Astyanax mexicanus: one gene and its partner. The protein of the gene in region 2 interacts with the protein of the main gene of each other region in a pairwise test. Links are inferred from orthologs where the notes say so. Each region holds a gene or a part of one and is shown on either strand. Other genes may lie near its edges.

What was found.
Region 1: the proteins of trim2a (region 2) and cib3 interact in binary tests that used the Homo sapiens proteins (3 or more experiments, as listed by UniProt). The two-hybrid records come from large-scale screens. The link is inferred for Astyanax mexicanus from reciprocal best matches to the Homo sapiens genes TRIM2 and CIB3.

Annotation. Positions count from the first base shown.
Region 1 is NC_064411.1:47,997,538-48,009,448, forward strand, and holds the start of cib3 (calcium and integrin-binding family member 3), read left to right. Parts: upstream 1-7,157; 5' UTR 7,158-9,910; coding exon 9,911-9,961; intron 9,962-10,176; coding exon 10,177-10,211; intron 10,212-11,770; coding exon 11,771-11,882; intron 11,883-11,911. Other genes in the region: sugp1 (SURP and G-patch domain-containing protein 1), read right to left, coding at 1-29, 670-793, 1,286-1,510, 2,183-2,286, 2,387-2,558, 3,918-3,936. UniProt on the Homo sapiens protein: Acts a an auxiliary subunit of the sensory mechanoelectrical transduction (MET) channel in hair cells. Plays a role in regulating hair cell MET channel localization and function.
Region 2 is NC_064432.1:21,840,889-21,852,142, forward strand, and holds the start of trim2a (tripartite motif-containing protein 2), read right to left. Parts: upstream 5,242-11,254; 5' UTR 5,178-5,241; intron 1-5,177. UniProt on the Homo sapiens protein: UBE2D1-dependent E3 ubiquitin-protein ligase that mediates the ubiquitination of NEFL and of phosphorylated BCL2L11. Plays a neuroprotective function. May play a role in neuronal rapid ischemic tolerance.

The DNA of each region.
Region 1 (11,911 bases), on a different chromosome or scaffold from region 2:
GCTCCTTGCTGTCCTTATCAATCAGGAATCTGTTTGAGCAGGGAGACATATATTTTGTTTATTTGGCCTAGTAAAAATGGCACAAGGAATTAATTAAAACCCTTTTTTAAAGCCCTGGGTATACTAAATGACTAAACTCATAGAATGTTGTAAACAGACTAGGTATCTCACACTCCAGGTTAAAAAAAATCCATTGCACTCTAAACTACTAAAGATTCTACACTACACCACTCCAACCTGCTGCTGCTATTGTTGTTTGTGTCACTATTTGTGCTGATTCAAAACAAAAGACAGGTAAAAAATTGCTTTGGGTAAGGTTGTGGATGAAAAACAGGGACAGCACAGTCTATACAGACTGCAGAGCATGTTGGAGGTAAGTAGCACAGTGGCCTGTGCAAGCTATGCATAAGGCAGATATTTGCTTAATATTTCCGTTCCACCTTAAATACTGTGCCAAATCATAGCAGCTATATCTTTTAAGGTGGAATATACAAATTCAATTAAGAAGCAAGTCAAATAATACGCAATCTTGCTTGATATGCTCTGACTTGTCTGTGTGCTAGGGATAGATGGCAAAAATCATTCCCAAAAGCAATCTAATAAACTATGTTAGAACAGAAACTGTGCTGTGCACGACACAGAAATGCTATTATGAATTCAGATACTCACAAGAAGACTGGATTGTCCCTGTAATCTTCAATAGCTTTCTTCTCAAGCTCCGGCCCCCCTTCAGCGACGAAAGTAGCCATCCGGTCGATGATGAGGACCAAGTCTTCATCCTCTGGGGGGGAAACTTTAAGCAGGCTATGAGTACGCCGCCATAACTCACACACTCACAACTGCGTACTAACAAGACAGGACACGGGGAGTGGAGGGCTGTGAAACATGCAGTATCCACAAAAGCAGCATGTTTCGGCAGCTTCAATCAAACCCTGGGCACTTTATCCCAAAAGAACAGTCTTTAACAAGATGCTAACACTATTAGCCCAGGGTACATTTCAGATGGATTCAAGTAGTTAAATAACTCTCAGTTTTTTGAGGTCTTGCTTTAATCAAAGTATATTTTTAATCCTTATTAACGACCCTTAGCTAATTTTAGTAAAGTTACGTTTTGCTTGGTATGTGGATAACATGTATGTTCACCAAGGAGAACATGTATGAATTCTATCATTCTATCCTTACATCACATTATATTTTTGTATCCCTCCCTTTTTAAATGTCTACATTTATCACATTCATAATTACATGAAGGTAATTATGATTCAAACAAGCTGTGAGTGTCTACCTTTAACCTCCAGGTAATGTTCATCCTCTTCCTCTGCATCCTCCTCATCTGGGGAGCTGAAGACACTCGGCCTGGGGATCTGTAACTGGGTCTTCTTGGACTGGGAATAGCTCTTAAACTGGTTTAGCATGCTGCTAACACCCAAGCCGGGTCGTTTCCCAACTAGAATGCTCTTCTTCTGACTCTGAGAGGAGAGGGTGGAGCTTTTGGAGTCTGTGCTGGATCCTGGGGGAATACCATAAAATATATTGAACTGTTAAAAGATATCTTACGAGTGACCAACCTTCACAATACATAAATACAATCTAATCTGTCAGTGCTTCACACAAGCTAATTTACACATGTTTTTTGGGCCTTGTTTTTATTAGGTATCTACCTAGATATCATAATTATGATAAATATAAGATGTTATTGATGGACCTGTAATTGCAACTAATAGCACTGTTTTTGGAAATAAAACCCATTGACCAAATATTTCACAATGGAGAAGACAGAAGTTGCATAAGGTATGTAAAAAAATATTAAGCTTAGATTCAACAATAACTAAAACATATTTTATAACCATGCTTTGATGTAATAGTCATTATTGCTGTAAGAATTTAAATGTCAATTTTCTACATATTTGTAAGATATGGATTACTGTTTATTTCAAAGGAGTAATTTATTTATTTAGTTCTTTTAGGGTTTTTTGTTTCATTTACAATATTTGCTAGTATGAGGTTCATAACAATATAGACATTTTGTTATTGCCTTGTAATGTATGAACAAAAGCGTATGACACTAAATACATGTAAACAGGGACTAAACCAACACACACTTCTGTAAACAATAACCACTCTACAATGGACACCCCTCTGTATTGGGGAGGTTAAAACATGTCTGAAAAGGGTTTTGAACCTGAATCAGTGCTAGATTTCTCCTTTTGCATCTTCAGGAACTGCTGCAGGAAGCTTCCGTCATTCACAAACTTGTTCGAGGTTGATCCCTGTAAAGTTGGGCTGCTGAAAAACAGTATAAATACAATATGAAATTAATACCCAAAGAGTGCTTTGTGCTCTCAACAATCCAAAGTGAAATAATGAGAATTTGTAGATAAGTTACCTTGGTGGTATTGGCTTGCTAGGAGCTGATATGTTCCGTTTAGCTTGCTCTGCCATTTTTGCCTCGATTTCACGCTTCTTCTGAGCGATCAACTCCTCCTGCCTCATAATAACGTTGAGCTTGCTCTTCTGAGCAAATTTATTATTGTTATTATTCTTCCAGCCTCCTCGACCTGCAACACAAAATGTACAGTTAACATCAGGCTGAAACTGGCTTAGGATCTGTTATAATACACAACATATGATCAAAGGTCTAAAAGTATGGCATATACATTAGGCACTTTTCTGCTTAGCGCTTTTAGGTAAAGCCCAGGGACCTACAATTAAAAAATGTGTTCCCTCAATAATGTATTGAGTATTCTTAATTATGAATTGAGACATAAGTAATATATATATATATATATATATATATATATATATATATATATATATATATATATATATATATATATATATATCTAATAAAGGGATAAATAACATAATTGAATGAGAAGTTGTGTATTTAAACTTTTGACTAGTACTGTAGCTTATGTCTCATATATTTCTACAGACAATAATAAATAACACTGGGAATGAACCTCTACTATTTATAAAGTGCTATTTTTTACATTTTAATACACAGGGGCAGCAAAAAAGCAGCTCTGCAAAAAAAATAAAGAGACCACTTAAAAAATTATGAGTTTCTTTGATTTTACCTAATTGAAAACCTCCAGAATATAATCAAGAGGAGGATGGATGATCACAAACCATCAAACCGAGCTGAACTGCTTGATTTTTTTAATCAGGAGTAAAGACATAAAGTTATCCACAATCAGTGTGAAAGACTGGTGGAGGAGAACATCACAAGAAGAATGAAAACTCTGAATAAAAACCAGGGTTATTCCACCAAATATTGGTTTCTGTACTCTTAAAACTTTATGAATATGAACTTGTTTTCTTTGCATTGTTTGAGGTCTGAAAGCTCTGCATATTGTTTTGTTATTTCAGCCATTTCTCGATTGCATTTTCTACAAATAAATGCTCTAAATGACATGTTCATTTAATTCAAACATATATCTATAAATAGCAAAATCAGAGAAACTGATTCAGAAAATTAAGTGCTCTCTTGTTTTTTTTCAGAGCTGTATAACTAGAGCTGACATTAGCTAACCTAATCTAAACTAACGCTAGTTAACCTACAGCCGCTGACTAAGCTAACTTGGTTAGTTAGCCATAGTTGAAGATTAAAATACAATAAATCAACGAATTAAGTTACTAATTTTACGTATTACACAAAGGAATGTTAGTATTAGTAACTGCTAGTCAAATAAGTAACTTATATTAAGGATAAAGAATAAAGCTAAGCTAGCTAAGGGTGTGTATAATCTAGCTAAACTAGGCTAAAATATGCTAAGCTAAGCTAAAGCCCTAGCTAACACCATGCTAGCCTTATTACTAGCTAGCGATACGCAGGCAGCTCAAACACCATAATCAGCGGATCCCCGCGGCTACACTCATTATTGTTTTAATGTGTTTTAATATAGTTAATTTACCTCCATCGTTCGCCTCCATTTTCAGCCCCTTGTTTACTCAGTTGGTCAGTTGGGGTTGGATCTTTGCCTGCCGGGAGACGGGCGGCAGTGGTGGGTCTGCGTGACGTCACCCGCCAGCCACTTTTTCATCGACCCGGCAGTGCCAGGCACGTACCCGGCAGTACTAAAAACTGTCAGGGAGCTTCCTGACAGTACGCCGGCACTACTAAAAACTGTCAGGGGGCTAACTGACAGTACGCCGGCAGTTTTAAAAACTGTCAGGGAGCTTCCTGACAGTACGCCGGCACTACTAAAAACTGTCAGAGAGCTTCCTGACAGTACGCCGGCAGTATTAAAAACTGCCAGGGAGCTTGCTGACAGTACGCCGGCACTATTAAAAACTGTCAGGGAGCTTCCTGACAGTATGCCGGCACTACTAAAAACTGTCAGGGGGCTTGCTCACAGTACGCCGGCACTATTAAAAACTGTCAGGGAGCTTGCTGACAGTATGCCGGCAGTTTTAAAAACTGTCAGGTAGCTTCGTGACAGTACGCCGGCACTACTAAAAACTGTCAGGGAGCTTCCTGACAGTACGCCGGCAGTTTTAAAAACTGTCAGGGAGCTTCCTGACAGTACGCCGGCACTACTAAAAACTGTCAGGGAGCTTCCTGACAGTACGCCGGCAGTTTTAAAAACTGCCAGGGAGCTTGCTGACAGTACGCCGGCACTATTAAAAACTGTCAGGGAGCTTCCTGACAGTATGCCGGCACTACTAAAAACTGTCAGGGGGCTTGCTCACAGTACGCCGGCACTATTAAAAACTGTCAGGGAGCTTGCTGACAGTATGCCGGCAGTTTTAAAAACTGTCAGGTAGCTTCGTGACAGTACGCCGGCACTACTAAAAACTGTCAGGGAGCTTCCTGACAGTACGCCGGCAGTTTTAAAAACTGTCAGGGAGCTTCCTGACAGTACGCCGGCACTACTAAAAACTGTCAGGGAGCTTCCTGACAGTACGCCGGCAGTTTTAAAAACTGCCAGGGAGCTTGCTGACAGTACGCCGGCACTATTAAAAACTGTCAGGGAGCTTCCTGACAGTATGCCGGCACTACTAAAAACTGTCAGGGGGCTTGCTCACAGTACGCCGGCACTATTAAAAACTGTCAGGGAGCTTGCTGACAGTATGCCGGCAGTTTTAAAAACTGTCAGGGAGCCTGCTGACAGTACGCCGGCAGTTTTAAAAACTGTCAAGGAGCTAGCCTAGGATGGACTCTTTCATATGGGAGTGGACCTGTTTTGGCATTATGGAAAAATCATGAGAAATTTAATTTTAAGCATAAATAATAAAAATAAATAAATAATATAAAATAAACAATACAGTGAATTTTTCCCAAACTTGCAGGAGTCATAGCCTAGGACAGACTCTTTCAAATTGTAGAGATCATGAGATCATGAGAAATTTAATTTTAAACATGAATAAAATAATAATAATAATAATAATAATAATAATAATAATATAAAATAAACAATACAGTGAAATTTGCCGAAACTTGCAGAGGTGATAGCCTATGTTTTGGCATCAAATGCTAACAGTGGAACTGTTTTGGTATTATGGGAAAATCATGAGAAATTAAATTTTAAGCATAAAAAATAAATAAATTAATATAAAATAAACAATACAGTGAAATTTGCCCAAACTTGCAGGAGTCAAAGCCTAGGACAGACTCGTTCAAATGGTAATGGAACTGTTTTGGCATTATGGGAAAATCATGAGAAATGTCATTTTAAGCATAAAAAAAAAAAAATGTATATAAAATAAACAAAACAGTGAAATTTGCCCAAATATGCAGGAGTCATGGTAGTGGATCTATTTTGGCATTATGGGAAAATCATGAGAAATTTAATTTTAAACAAGAATAAAAAAACATTAATAATAATAATAATAATAATAATAATAATAATAATAATAATAATAATAATAATATAAAATAAAAAATACAGTGAAATTTGCCCAAACTTGCAGAGGTGACAGCCTATGTTGTACTCTTTCAAATGGTAGTGGACCAGTTTTGGCATTATGGGAAAATCATGAAAAATTTTATTTTAAACACGCATACAATTTTTTTATTAATATAAAATAAACCATACAGTGAAAATTGCCCACACTTGCAGAAGTGATAGTCTAGGATGGACTCTTTTACAAGGTACTGGATCTGTTTTGGTTTTTTGGGAAACTCATGAGAAATTTAATTTGAAGCATGGATTGAAAAAAGTAATATTAATATAAAACTCTCTCTCTCTCTCTCTCTCTTAAACACTGATGGGATATTATATCAAATAGATAATGTACTGCACAAAATATACAGTGAGGTGAGTTATTTTAATCCGTTTTTTCTCGTTTCTGGGCTTAATGTATGTCTGAATTAATATAATAGACTGAAACGTGTCGGTCTCCCGTTCTCTGTGTTTTTTAAGCGTGCTGTTTACCGTAAAATCGCACGTATACGCGCATCTAAACTTAAAGCGCGGATGACTTGACTGAGAATTTCCGAAGCGCGGATAGCTTGACTCCGGTCTTACTGTCAGCTAGCCCCCTGACAGTTTTTAGTAGTGCCGGCGTACTGTCAGGAAGCTCCCTGACAGTTTTTAGTAGTGCCGGCGTACTGTCAGGAAGCTACCTGACAGTTTTTAGTACTGCCGGGTACGTGCCTGACACTGCCGGGTCGATGAAAAAGTGGCTGGCGGGTGACGTCACGAAGACCCACCACTGCCGCCCGTCTCCCGGCAGGCAGAGATCCAACCCCCTCTCCAGTTGGTACTCAGTAACTGTTTCGCCTCGTCTCGAAAACAAACCCGCTGTACTGTAGAGGAGTTCACACCGCCGCCCGCAGCGCAGGAGGAGAAACTGTGGAGCAGATTTTACTGAATGGAGCTGGAGATGGTGAAGGAGTTCCCCACAGATAAGTAGAGCAAAACACTCTTAAATTAGACATTTTCAGAAGTGCTGCTTTTTGTTGGACTTTTTTTTAGGTCTCTTTCAGACCAAGCTTATAATACACAGAGGTGGAAAAAGTATTGAAAAATTGTAATTAAGTAAAAGTACCATTACTTTGCTAAAATTCTACTCAAGTAAAAGTACCCATCTAAAAAATCTACTCGAGGAAAAAGTAAAAAAGTACTCAATTTACAATTTACTTTGAGTAAAAGTTACATAGTTACTTTTAATTATTTGATGTAAAAAAAGTACAAAACATAAATTAAATATATTTAATGAATTATTATTCCAAATAATAATTTGGACCTTTCAGGCAGTATTTGTTCAGACCACCCCATAAAACATTTTTAAAAACAAGTGGCATAGGTTTCTATGATCCATTTTTTTCTTTACCGTTTAAAAGTTATGGTCATATACATGACTATAAACTGTATTGCTATAGTTTTACAGTTCATTATCATTTTTTTAACTTGCCATTGCCATGCTTTAACTGCTATTTACATGTTTTTGTTTTTTACATTTAAGAAGATTGTTTAATGTTTCCAATAAAAAACTTAAGGAATTATCATGAAAAACATAAAATCATACAAAAAAAAAAAAAACCTAAAGAAACACATATCGATGGGTAGCATAACTCTACAGAACACCGGTTTCCCCCGAGCACAGCTGATTTACACAGCGTCTCTCTCGCTAACCGTAATAAACACTGCTGGGAAACGTTCAGCTGCGCTGCCATGGAGAACAAAACTCAACAAAACCCCAACATTTAATTATTTACTCAGTAACGGGGAGTTTTCCAATGTAGTGAAGTAAATTACTTGTGTCAAAATGTACTTGAGTAAAAAGAGTAAAAATTACCTATTTTATAAACTACTTAAAAAATTACAAATTAAAAAATAAAATATAAAATCTACTCAATTACAGTAATTTGAATAAATGTAATTCATGACTTTCCTGATAATACACTATACACACATACACTACACGACTTTGAAAAGACTTTTAACAGACTAAAGTCTGACACCCTCTCACATCTAAAGACAAGTCACAGACTTTTTACTAACAGGCTAAGATTTTGCAAAGACTGGGGATCACTAACTGCAAGACTGCAACTAGATTCTTTCTGAGATCATTTTCCCATCATGCTTCTGGTGGAGTTTACATGCAATACATATTAAGTTATCATACAAATAATGTGCTTATCAATACTGTGATTTATCAGAGACTCACAACTTTTCTGCCCATCAACAGTTTATTTTTCTGCCACACTGTTAGTTCTTGATATTTTTAAATAGAATACATTTCGTGTTCAACTAAGCTTTGTTATAACCTTGTATAGCAAAGAATCACAGTTTCAGAATCTCAGTTATACATTTGCCTTTGTTTTAGATAGAATTAATGCAATAAAGAACATCATTCTTGCAAAATGTTTATTTATTAAAATTGTTTGTATCAAAAATAACACTGCACAATAAGACAAAGTAGTGCAAAATAAAATAACTTTAAATATAATTATTTTAAAGAACCATATAGGGCATATTAAATGCAAAATGTGTTCTTTTTCAAATTGTTTGTAAACCACATCACTATTTACTTCACTATTGTGTGAGCCGGAATTATGTGACAACATGAGATCCTAATGCATGGATACGACTTAATTAAGCGTGGGAACAAGAACCTAATATGTGGGAACGAGATAATTAAGGCATGGGAACAAGATCCTAATGAGTGGCCCCTACTTATTTAAGAATGGGAACGAGAACCTAATGCGCAGGAACGAGATAACTAAGCCATAGTAACAAGATCCTAATGCGTGGCCACGACTTATTAAAGAGTGGGAAGGAGATCCTAATGCATGGCCATGACTTAGTAAAGCGTGAGAACGAGAACCTAATGCGCATACATATATATATATAAAAGTGTGCGTACCTCTGACAGCAAAACCTCAGATCCGTGATCGATAAAGTTCCTTTTCTTCGCCATTTTCCTAATAAGAGTATTGCAAGGCATATTTGACTAATTAGCATATTATAATCTTCATAATGGAGGAAGGAGACAAGGCAGAGTATTGTGTTCCTGCATGTGCGCTTAATTTGAATTTGATTGTGATGTATTACAATAGTGTGGGTCAAAATCTACTTAAATACGGTTTCATACATCTGTTTTTTTTAGTGCATATAGAACTTTTCATTTTCATTTCATTTTATTATTAATTCCACACAACTCTTAGTTCATGAGGCCCCAGGTCTGCTACAACTGGTCTAAAACAGAAATGTATAGTGCTAGAGACACAGACTTGAGTAAAAATCTGAGTAGAAGTGTTCTATCAAAAAAAGTGATACTTATCCCATTTGGGGTCAGAGAGCAAGGGCAGACATGGTACAATGCCCCTGGAACAGCAGACAATATGGATATTATATTAAACCTGGGTATCAAACCCAAAAGCTTGGTATTGATTATCCAGCATTTAAACTGCTAAGCCAACACTGCCCTAAATGACCTAAATGGTCATATGTGCCTGCAAAACTTTTTTTTTTTTGCAAGGGCAATTTTTAAAACTGTACAGACATAGATAATATACAGAAGTAGAATTAAAGACAAATTCCCACTTATAATTTAATTACAAGTAAACACAAAGCTAATCTTAAATATCAAACAAATAGCACATTTAATTCTGGTTCATCTTGCTGAACCCCCTCTGTGCTGCAGCCCAGGTAAAGCAGGTGTAATCTGAACCCCGGGTGAGGCGTCACCCCCCGTTCTCAGCGGGGGCTCGCTGCCATCGGCACTCCAGCTGACCGACAGCCTCATTCAGGTCCAAAAACGGCTGCCATTCAGCGCAATGAAAACGATGAAATGCCTCCATTATAATGGTGAGGTGAAGGGCCCGGCAGGGCGGACACCCGATCCCCTCTCCATTGTCTCGTACATTTCATATCTGAAATATCTGCCCACACTCCCTTCTGGTACACACTGACACTCACTCACATGGGGCTCTGGGGCTCACTCTGGCTGAGCGGGAATGGGGAACAAGCAGACCATTTTCACTGCCCAGCAACTGGACGCATATCAGGTCAGTCAGGAGAAGCTGCATAGAATTAATTAATTTATTTATGGCTTGTGTTAGAGAGGTGCAAAAAGAACATCTATAATAATGCAGTTTAAATGTGCAAACTCTTCATGTCCTTTTGTAATTTAACGTAGTGTGTATCAGTGTGTATGAATTGTGGACTGTAAAAGTTATATTATTGTTAGTGAATTATTTCGTTCATCCTCTTAAATTCACAGGACTGCACATACTTTACCAGAAAAGAGATTTTAAGGTAAGTCTTTTCCTCTTTAAACTTTAAGCTGCCCTACACTGAACAATGTAAGACAGGACAATTTGAAATAATTATTTGTGTTTACTCAACTGAGTTTAGTTAAAAGTTTTTCCTACTCACATTTTCAGTTCAGCATCTCATTTTTAGTAGTTGAGTCTTATATCAGTAAATGAGTAAATGCCTAAATTTTGTACGATTTGTTGGAGGTTTATTCTTATCTGCAGGTCACACCTCCCAGTATCACATGGGGAGGGGAGGCCTTCCTTTTTTAGACTCTTGACAAGCAGGCACTTAGAGAGTTGCTCCACTCTAGAGCTGTGAAATATATACAACTCTGGAAAAAATAAGAAGCCATTTAAAAATGATGAGTTTCTTTGATTTTAGCAAATGGAAAACCTCTGCAATATAATAAAGAGGAAGATGGATGATCACAAACCATCAACCCTGCATTTTACTCTGAGAACTTTCTGTAATAACTACACTAATAACACAGTACTGTACTTTTACTTTCAGTACTTCAGTACTACATTTTACAACTATTAAAGTTGAATACTTTAATACCTCCACTTAAGTGTGGAGCTTAAGGAACACTTTATCTTCTACTCAATTCACTATTTTGATAGAGCACTTGTACTTTTACTCTTTTAAGTCTGGGTATCTAGTACTTTATACATGTCTGCTCTGTAATCAGACTATATTATTTTATGTTTGCAAGATTTTAGATTTAGTTAAATGGGCTTTAGGCTCCTTAAAAGTTTTTGGCAATACCACCCACAGTGGACAAAGCAGGGGGTGGTAATGATCGTGACCTGCAGTGTCTGGTTAGAATTGTCCATGCTATCTGACAAACGATTCTGGCACACATATCTAACAGATCAGGGCAGTGTTCTTTAGTTTCTATGGGACAGGCCAAAAGTCATGGGACAGTGTAATTACACTATACACATATTAAATAAGTATTGCCATTGGTGCAGTTGCCTTTAAGACAAGGGGGACCCCACTTTTAAATCCACTTTCTCTTCAAATCACCTTTTCTTTAACATTATCTACAGGTTGTGAACACACAAAGAAAAATAAGTACAGATTTGTATTTAAAAGATTATAAAGCTGGGGCTGTATCTTATATTGAGGTACAACAGAGTACCTTTCAGTGGAAGTATTTTTTTGTACTTGTGTTTTTTGAACCAGTAAAGATTATAAAGATTATAAACCTTATCATCAACTGAATATGTGTCAAGAACATGATGATCTAAAATTGTCTGGCTTTTACATTAAAAATGTATAAATAAAATATGTATTGTTTATTAGTACAGTGATACAGAATACCGGATGTAACTTTTGGCTGGTTAAATGGTACAAATTTGTACTTTCTGCTGTTATTGATCCTGTTAAGGTCAATATTATACCTTTGAGGGTACAATTATGTAAAGTGTAGCTTTGAGTACAAAAGCTGTTTTTTAGTGTGAAGAAAATTTTTAAATTAAGTTAATTTTTGCAAAAACATACAGTATGTCACTGGTTATCCAAATTAATGAGATGCCCTTACCATTATCTTCTAGACTGTTCCATAGGTACCGCGATTTGGCTCCTCAGCTGGTTCCACTGGACTACACCAACCAGCCAGATGTGCGTTTGCCGTACGAGCTGATTGGCAGCATGCCGGAGCTGAAGGTGCAGTATATCTCACACAGCGCATCGCG
Region 2 (11,254 bases):
CCCAAAACAGCCATCAGTCACGCTACTGATACCCCATCAACCCCCAAACAGCTACGACCCTGAATCCTGCCTAGGAAATTTAAAAAATAGATATTTAATATTTAATAATAACATTTAATTTAAATTGATTAGGCATTCCTAATAAAGTGACTAGTGAGAGAAAGCACAAGATAAGGTAGGTGTTTCTAATGAAGTGAAGACAAGGTAATAGTAGATGCTTATAAATTGGCCAGTGTGTGGAAGTACAAGATAGGGTAGGTGTTTCTAATAAAGTGGCCAGTTGTAGATGATCCAGCAGGAGTGTGGTTCTGATCCGCAGCAGGGTGAAGCACTGCAGTCAGAACCGCATGCATTAATAAAGCTCTTTCGTTTGTGTACAGAAAGTGTGGGTAGATTTAGAGGCGTGGGCACGGTGCCGCAGGGACGGCTCTTACATAAAGCTGAAACAGACTGAAGAGCCGATGCCCTGCATTATTAAAGCTGTACGATGCCATGCTTTTATACGGTTATTTATAGAAGCTGACTGGCAGTGTGGTGAATATTTGATGGTATACAAGAGTTCAACTCATTACAGTGTGAAGATGTACTGCATGCTGTTATCAAGATCAACAACCAAAATCAACATTAGTGACAATAAATGAACAGCACTTTTAATATCAATCAGCTACATCAGGACCCAGAAGGCCAACCAGTCAGAACCCGTGGAGCTGCAGTCGAGTTGCGCTCGCGTCATCTGGATCGTTCAGTGTAAGGAGGTTAGGATTGAAAGTTTTAGTCAGTCTTTTTCGCGTCCTGGCGCTCTGGTAAAATCAACCGTTTAATATTATCATAAGTCTTGAGACTTGGCTCACGCAAATAGTGATGTGAACAATGTCAACAACCAATAGGAGAGCTCCTGGAAGCCGCAAGACAAGAATATTTTATGTGACTGTTTACAAGCGATTTAAAAAAGAACACATTTTGCAGTTAAAATGCCTTATATGGTTCTTACTTTAATATGTACAGGATTTTAAACACAGGTAGCATTTTAAAGTCGTTATATTATGTATTAAAAATATATATTATTATATATTATTAAATAATATATATTATTAAAAATATCAAGAACTAACAGTGTGGCAAAAAAACAAGTCTCTGATAAATCACAGTATTGATATGCACATTATTTTTTAATTAATATCTAAATTCCACCAGAAGCATGATGGGAAATAATCTCAGAAAGAATCTAGTTGCAGTCTTGCAGTTAGTGATCCCCAGTCTTTGCTAAATCTCAGTCTGTTAGTAAAAAGTCTGTGATGAGTCTTTAGATGCGAGAGGGTGTCAGACTTCAGTCTGTTAAAAGTCTTTTTTGAGTCTTTTTAAAGTCGTGTAGTGTAGGAACAGCTTTAGTAGACACAATTCATTCCCAGCCAATTAGCACTCAATAGTCAAAATTCCAGGCAATTAGCCCTAAAAGCGAACTTTCATCAAAGCAATGAATAGACAGAATGCCAGCATTATTTGACTATTGCTTCGACTATTAGAGATATTGTTCTGCCCAGTTAGGATGCACAAGTGATGCGAATTAAACTGACAACAGGTGCACAAGAGAAGCAACAGTAAGACAACCACCAACAAGTGAAGGGTTTAGCAGGTAGTGTCCACACCCAAATACTCTCTTCTTATCCTTCCTGACTGATTCTTCTCTAGCTTTGCATTTTGCTGTTGTCCTTGTCACTACTGGTAGCATCAGGCAGCACCCGCAGCCTTTCAGGTCTCAAGAGCATGGAGGAGATACCAGGACAAAGGCTGTTACATCAGAATAGCAGGACAGGATCGTGGAAGGGCATCAACCAAGCAACCACAGCAGAGAACTCCAGAATTGCCCTGGTTCTTTCCAAAGTTGAGAGGAAGTTTATTCAGAGTCTGAATAAGCCAATGTGTGATTTAAGCGTTCAATTTTTGTGAGCAGTCTATTAAAATCCACCCACGTCCCTTATGCCCAAATCCAATTATTATTCCTTATCTCAAACCAATTCATACAAATGACAGCATTTCCTAACAGAATTCAGAAGATGTCAGTGGGTTTATATCACAGAGTGCACAGAGTTTTTCTGTATGTTTCCAGTTTAAGAACGACTTTTTGCTAATCAACTGAATGCTACCCTTTAACAGCGCTGGAGTTTTAACTAAAGCTCATCAGAGCCTGAAACACCAAACCAGTACAGACGAGAATCTGAGACTTTAATGAGTCTACTCCATTCAGGTCACACCCATCATCTATAATGGTCCCATTTTCATTTACATACTCTCAACCCTAAAACCCATCAGGATCCCCCCCTAACCTACCCAAACAAAATCAATTACCACATTCAGCGCCGCCCATCAACACGACAACCTGCTGACAAGTTAAACGGAGCAGTGAAGCATGGAGACTCGGAATGGGTAATGCACTGGGACCACCAACCCAGTCTTAAAGAGACAGTCTGGAGATAATTCAGAATTATTATTATTATCTGAATACTGAGCATTTTGAATATTAAAACTCTCAAAAGCGACTTAAGATTTCAACTGTTTAATTATTCTTCATATTCATAAGGCATTAGACTACACAGAAATGATAATTTTCAGGTTAATTACTTTGTATTTTCTTTCATGCATGCATCCACTATTCTACACTATAATGTAGGAATCTTTTAGCAGTAGCAGAGACAACAGGAAGAGAGGAGAAATGGCCAGTTAATTTCTATGCTCTATTTTCATTAAATGAAATGGAATGTTCAGCATCACTTATCACACTCTGTATTTAGTTTATTCCTACTTTACAAATTGACTGTTTTCTAACTGAAAGATATGAGCTGTAGAGGACAGACATAGTAATGTTAGCTGAGCGACCTTAGCCTTAGCATCTTCAAAACAGCCCTGCTGAGGTACATTTATGATTAGAATAGCACTGCTGAGGTACATTTATGTTTGGAATAGCACTGTTATGGTTTATGATTAGAATAGCACTACTGAATTACACTTATAATTAGAATAGAACTGCTGATGTACATTTATGAGTAAAATAGCACTGCAGAAGTAAACCTATGATTAGAGTAGCACTACTGAGGTACATTTAATGATTAGACTAGTTAAATGTGTGACAAGAACAGCACTGCTGAAATAAATTCACTATTAAAATATAATGTGCTTTGCTTTTTTCTGTTAGGATATTAACGCTAAGTGTTAAGTAAGTGCTTTTCCTTTGAAAAACAAGAAAAAATATATTTTTAGACTGTTTAATTTATTTAGTGGTAAAAAGTGGCAAGTTATTTTGGGCCAAACATGTATATTTTGGTGCCCCCCTACTTTAATGTTCATTATATGGGAACATTATAAGGGAACAGCCACTCATGTTGGGTCAGCTGATCTAGCGCTGCACTACTATAGGTCACGGTGTTCCCTAAGGACTAGAAATTTCGTCTGGAGACGCCGCCTAATTCATCAAATCAGCGACACGAGTAATCATCGTCTGATCAGGACAATTCCCCAGAGTGAGTCAGCGATTACCGTCTACAGGGCCGTCTCACTAAACCCTCTTTTTCATCTGGGCTGTCACTTCTGATACTTATACTCCGGGTCTGATTTATTAGATTACACTACACTCACACTGCCATGTGACTTCAGTAACAGCCAATCAAAAATTACATGTTAATGAGCTCATGAGTATTTAGCACAGAGACTAAACTGGCCACAAATTTCAGAATTGTATTTTTTAAATCTGGCTTTTGAATCCGTAATAAGAGGTTGGATGCAAATTAAAAAAGTAATATCATGCAACCCTGTTTACACCTGGTCATGTCATGTGACTAGTATCTAAATTGTGCATGCATTTATACTTGGCAGACAATGGTATGTCTAAATTTCGGCAGTTTATGATGAGTGTATGGTTGTCTTGTCTTATCTTGTCTTGTCACTGATTCAGGTGTGCTGTTATATTCCACACAGGTTCCAGTGTGAATGAGGAGTGTGAGAAGGGAGAATCCAGGCCAGTCAGTGCTATAAATACATCACAGGCCTAACAGAGGTTCAGAACACTGTAAATATACAGGCATACAGCCATGTCTACTCTGCTCCATCATCATAGTAGGATCATAGGATGCCATTTCTTTGCAGGATTAAACATTTAAGACTGTTAACAATTCAATGTGAAATGCTTCATTCTAGAAAAGCTCATAATTGATAGTTTAACACATTAACACAGCCAATAAATGGTGTTTGGAAATAACACAAGTTTTTGGAGCGGAAATAATATAACATTCAACAAATATGACCTCTGCCTTGCTCATGTGTTCCCTGTCACAACCCTTTAACCCTGTTACTAGCATAAAAATTAATCACACAAAACGCTGATTGATGGTAGCAGCACAGACATCCTCTATACCTGCTGGTGTGTTGTGATTCAATCAGAAATTAGAAGATGCAGTATTAAGTAAGACGTATTAAAAGCCATTAATATCTGATTCGACACGATATTTATGGCACAATATAACGTTTTAACATCACTTTATGTGCATATGCAATAGTTACATCGCTATATAAATCACTATCAAAACTGTCTATGCATCTTGGCATGTTCTCCTCCACCAGTCTTACACGCTGCTTTTGGATAACTTTATGCCATTTCTGGTGCAAAAATTCAAGCAGTTCAGTTTAGTTTGATGGCTTGTGATCATCCATCTTCCTCTTGATTATATTCCAGAGGTTTTTAATTTGGAAAAATTAAAGAAAAACATCCTCATTAAGTGCTCTCTTATTTTTTTTCCAGAGCTGTATATGAAATGATTGATTGTGGATTTGTCAATTACAGTGACTTAACCTTGACACAGTCCATAATCATATCATTATGATTTTAGTGCACTATACTGTACTATACTGACTTCATACAGAGCATTACATTAAAGTCTCACAGTCTATAGTACCAAACCGCACACTACCACTAAACAGTACATCAGAACAGTACCCCAGCTTTAGTACACACTCATCTATAGTACACTAGCTGCTCAGCCTACAGAGTGCAGTGTTATCGTGCAGTGTGTGGTTTGGGACGCAGCCTTGAAATAACTGCATATTTACCTATAAGACCAGCAGAAAGACCAGAATTTAAGACCGATTTAAGTAAAAATAAGACGATAAAGTCTAAATTCATCACTTACGGTTGTGCTGAGACGGCAGGCGCGTGCTGTGTGATCAGCTGGGGCATTAACAGCTCTGCTGCCCCCCCCGCCTCACCACTTGGTTTGCCCCACAGCACGCGCGGACAGGCTTACTCATGTTTTCCACGCCCTTCCTGCGCTCGGATTGGCTAATTCTGTCCTCCCACGTGCGCTCTGATTGGCTAACAGCCCGTAGTCTCAAGCTGTTTGCTATATAACCAATCAGAGCGCAGGAAAGCTTATTTTGGCGGAAAATAGGTGGGAAAAAAATGATTTCAAACCAAACCCGTTGATTACAGGCTTATACTTGCGGTAAAATTCATGAATTATTTAGATGAATTATGTAAATTATGAGCTAAACAAACACCCAACGGACGCGATAATATATGATATCAGCTTATAATATAAGACGTAGCCTAAATATCTGCCTAAAAAGAGTATTTCAGTTCAGATAAATTGTAATTTATTTAATAATTTAAAAAAAGGAATAATTGATTTCAAAAATACACTAAATTACATGTATGTATACTATGTTTAGCTAAAGCGCTTTATTAAAATAATCTCATATAAAAAGCTTTAAAACTAATTTTATGATAAAAGTCTGTTTGCCAGATATATCACATAACAAAATTATTAAAAATACAGGGAAGTACCATTATGTACATTTGTTTTGTCATAATTTTTTACAATTATGATTCATCACAGAATATTATTTTGACTAATACAATTCATATTTTAAAGCAATTGACTTTTATAAGTATTATACACTTCTGTCATTTTATTCACATTTAAATATCCAATAATAAAAGCTTTAGTCTTAATAAGTAAAAATGTGTAATTAATGACATAATATTTATGTGGTTCATCAAAAAAAATATTTTAAAATCGATTGACACCACAAGTCAACACAACCTGGATACTGTAGTTAATTCTAAGTTTACTTATGAACTTATATATCAGATCTCTGTACTAAGACCTGATCGGGCTCTCGGGACCCTGGGCGAATTGGTTGGGCTAAGAGGATGGGGTGACAGGGCAGAACTGCATGGTTACCAGGGCAACCCTTTAGAGGCCTTCCCTCTAACATTGAGGAGACGGTTGCCATGCCAACAGTCCATTATGAGTCAGCCCCATGAAAACCCTGGGACGGGGGAGTGGGGGGGGATCTTAAAGGGGTGATGGGGGACGGAGGAGCAGTGAAAGTTATTTGCATTCCTTTTAAATTTGGATTTCCTTTGATACCGACTGAAAACTAGCAGCGGGTGCAGCCTGTACCCCTCCTCACCCGCACCCACCTTCATTATCACTGAGGATAATCGCATGAAAGAGTCGCATTTCCAGGCTTTGAGAGGCTTTGCTGGGCTGGAAATGAAGCATTTACGGCACGCATGACGGCACTGAGGGTTATTTTGCCATTCTGTCTTTATTTATTCAGCTCTTTTTCTTTTGGTTGAGGTATTGTTCCATTTACACTGAATAAAAGTAAAAGAGACAAGGCCTTCCCTCTTGCTTGGCCCACACTACAGGATAAAGAGGGACAGATCAGTGTTTTTGGGACTGATCTCTTATCATTTTTCAGCTTGATCAGCCAATCACCAACACAGCTTGAGGGTGGGGCTAGATGCAACATTAAACTTGGCAATATGTCACAAAAGTGCTGATTATTAAACAGTAAGATTTAGATTTATCACTGCTGCTGCTGTACTTTTGGTGGTGGTTAAATGTGGACTGACCAATTTGATGTTCTGTATGGTCAGCATCATTTGTTTGGCTAGTTGTTTTGCTGTGCTGTAGCTATTTACTGTACAAGCTGTAATATACGCTCCTGAGAGGGGTATCCAGTTAGTGAGGGTTAAATGTCCTTTATGAACTGACCACTGTAAGGGTCAGCTTAATTAATTACATTTCAGCTTTAAATCATCTGATACCGATACAGAACCATAGGATTTTCTATCTCTACTACAGGGTTTGTTTTTTCTTGTAACCGATGAGATATTATTTACAGAGAAATGAAAAAAAGATTTCAGCCAACACATGCTTGGTAAAATTACACATTCTCACAATTACTGCAATCACAAATACAATTTATAAACACAATTTAAATCCACCCTATATACTGTATCTGTATGAAATAAAGGATCATGTCCTAACAGAGAATCAGCACACTACACTTCAGAATATTTCATATTCACGATACATGATCACAACAGCCTAACTAGGGTTATATATTGTCAAGAACTATATATACAATACTATATTGAGATATTTTTGAAATATTGTGATATTAATGGCAAGGCCATTTATTGTGATTGTTACACCCTCTATGGCACAAATGAAATATTTTGGAAAAAAAATGGTATTAATATATCAATGACAAAATCCCCCACAGCAACACTGATCATTTTAATGATGCAGTGGAACTGGATACATTTTTTATTTAAAAAAAATTAAAACACTATTTTATTAAGTAAATGAAAACAACCCCAAAATATTTCTTTACATATTCATGCATATCTATAGTATATTAGATATTTATATTATAGATATTATAGATATTATATAATATTAAAATTAAATTTATTTGGTCAATTGCTGGCACCGTGTCCCATGTGGGTTTGGCTCTAAAAATTATTGTTTCACCCCCAGGTGAAATGTCAAACCCACTTCTACCCCACCTCTTTCAGTGAACGGAGACTTATCTTGATGTTATAATAACATATACTGTAAAAACGAATTATTTTGTTAAAAATAATAAAATAAAAAAATAGATTGTTAAAGGAACAAAGCCCGGTCAGTGTGGACCGGACATCAGCAGCACACAACAACCCCACCCATCTCCAACTACCATCATTCATCCTGTACTGGTTCTGAGTGCAGGATAGTGCAGGCTGGCTAATGCTGGTAAGTGCTGCTCCAGCTGCTTATGTTTATTGATCCATAATGTCTGGATCTGGATGCCACTTTGTCCAAGCAGCTCATTCATCCTGTAGCAGGAAGCCCAGTCCGCCATCAGAGGTTCATAGAGAATGCATCACATACTGATTATACTGATCACCACTAGTGCTGTTTAATCTAATCACTGAGGTAGATGACATTACAGTACTTACAGATTCTTTTTATTTTGGAAAACATATTATTTACTTGGTTATTAGAATCAGAATCAGAATTAGAATCTTTATTCGCCTAGTACAAAAGGCACAAGGATTATTTCTTGGTGCAGGTATCAACATTTAGATTGAATGTATTAATAGATGGATAAAACATCTAAACTGTATATAAGCACAAGATAGACTAAGAAACATGAATTAGAGTACACATGTAAAAGTCCAATAGGATATATGCAATGTAGGTGTTACAAGCAAGCAACAAAACAAAAATACAAAATTACCAAGGGTAAGTTCAATTTAAATATGCAAAAGTGTATAGTATATGGTAAAGACAGTAGATTATACATTAGTTTATACCGATTATATGATATAGTGTAATATAGTATAAAATGGTATAATAGAGTGCAGGTGCAGCACATACAAATAGTTAAAAGGTTCAAAGTTAAAATAAAGAAATGTAGACGTGTCCTTGGTTATTATTGCATTATTTTGAATGCTTATGCTTGTATTGAATTACACTCCCAAAGGACAAAGTACACTTCATACAATTTATTCTATTTTATTCATATTTATTTAGGTGTTAATTTTAGGTATTATTTTTCTTATCCTGTTTGAAGATTGAGTTAAAAACTCAGGTTCTACCTTCAGTGCTATGTAGAACCTACTTACCAGCGTTACCTTGTACAAATCCAATTGCTCAAACCACTTCAGGAGATGGTCTGAGACACATTTATAACAGAAACATGATTTAGACTGTTGTAATGGGTTAAATACAGATACACATCTATTTAATGAGGCTGTTCTTTATAACCAGTAACATAATTAACAGGCTAGTTGGTGTGTAGACATGTTGATCTTACCCCATCATAAGATCTGTAGGTTCTGGTGGTGAGAATTGATTGAAGAGACTCCTCTCAGACTTTTCTTTTCAGGGTTTCATCACTAATAGATCTGAAAAACATAGTTACTGTTATTACAGGAGATCTACACGACACTGAAGACCCCACAGAGGATGTAGTAAATGTGGGGGGGTCGGTGTGTGTTGTGCTGGTATAAGTGGATCAGATACAGCTGCTACATCTTGTAGATGTAAAGTCAGAGATATAAGCTCTGAGTCTGTTGCTGCACAGTTTGTGTTTGTCCTTCATCAGTGCTCACAGGACGCTGTTGGTGAGTCCAGCAGAGACACAGAGGTGTTTAAAAACTCCAGCAGCACTGCTGTGTCGTACTGCTTTTTGATTTTACTATATGTAAACAACATATAGCAGCTGGATCTTCTCTGAGGAGAGGAACTTTCCCCCAGTCTACAAATCTTCCGTTAGCTCCTTAACTCTAATCACCAAACACGCTAATCCAGCCCGCTGCCTTCAATGGACAGTCAGTGTTATTTCTAGTCTTGCTTGTTGTGTTATTGATAGTGTTCAGTTATTGATGGTAGAGGTATACAGTATTGTGCAAATGTTTTAGGCACATGTGGAAATTTCAGTAAGGAATAAGTGTCTAAGCTCAGTAAAACACTTATAGCATTACAGTAAATACTAACAGCAATTTTACAAAAAACAGAGATTTTACAGCCCTGTTTTCCTTTAAACATCTTCTAATCTCTCCTCCTCATCTGGGTTTAATAGAGTTATTTCTAGTTCTCATCATATTAATCAACACCTGGTTTGGAAAATTGGTAAATGTGGTAAATCAGGTGAGCTGCTGACGGAACTGAACATAATGTACACATGCTGGCTGAGGAGCATCCAGGAGAAATCTGAAACTACACTAACTGTTCTTCAGCTTGGCTCACAGGATAAAACATACTTAGTTAAAAATGAGAAATTATTGTTACTTTTTACTGTATGTATGATTATTTTGTATGTGGTGCTTTTTTCAGGTAAAAACACTCATATTGCTATATATTATGATTATTATTCAGAGTGGGGGTTTGAGATGAACTCATTCAAAGTGAATGAAATCATAAATGGAAGCACTATAACATAAATATACATATATATATATATATATGTATATTTTATTAACTATTCAACCCACCAGTGAATCTGCTGAGTTTTATATGGAATGATGATAATGGTCAAATAGTGGCAAATGTACTCACATACAGGGAATGTTTTTAGGCACTATTTTGCTGCACAGTTCCCTGCATATTGCGTATGTATCCCTCCATCATTTTAATGATATCTGAGAGCCAAAATCTTCTCAGATCTCTATTAAGAGAGTGTGTCAGGCATCAGACAGTGTACACATAATCATTTTTAAAATACTATATTATACTAAATGATAGTATAGTCTATAATGGTATTTTTGATTTCATTTAAGTAAAATATAGATCTGAAGTACTCATTAAAAAAGTAGATGGATACATGGAATGCTATATAGTGAACAGTATAGTGAGCACACAGCCAACACAGAGTTATCAGTTAAGAAAATGATGCTTGCTCTTACAGCCTACAACACAGAGGCCAGACAGTTAATCATAACATATGATATAATATATAAGTTTACCTAAAGTAGCCTGAGGGAAATTACTACACACTGATGGTGAGTGTCAGAAAATGGGGGCTATAAATACTATTTAAATAGATTGTGGTCAATGGCAACATACTGTATATGTATACACACAAATGCTCACCTAACCCTAAATAGTTGAGTAATGTTTGGAAATATCAAATTTCATATAAAAAACAGACTTAATTAATTTCAATTTAAACAAATTGTGGGTTTACAGTGTACTGTATTCTACTGTATTTTTATATTAAGTGTATTCATAATAGCAGCAATACCAACAACAACAACAACATCTTTCAGTTTACCTTAAGACAGTGACCGGTCATGATGTTCCCTTTAGAAGCAGCATCCAGTGCGGACATCTGGTCGTCTGGTCGTGGTCATCGTTCTGCTCCACTGAAGCACTGAAGATAGACGTATCCCAAACCAGAAATTTCAGGTTAAATTGAAGCCAGT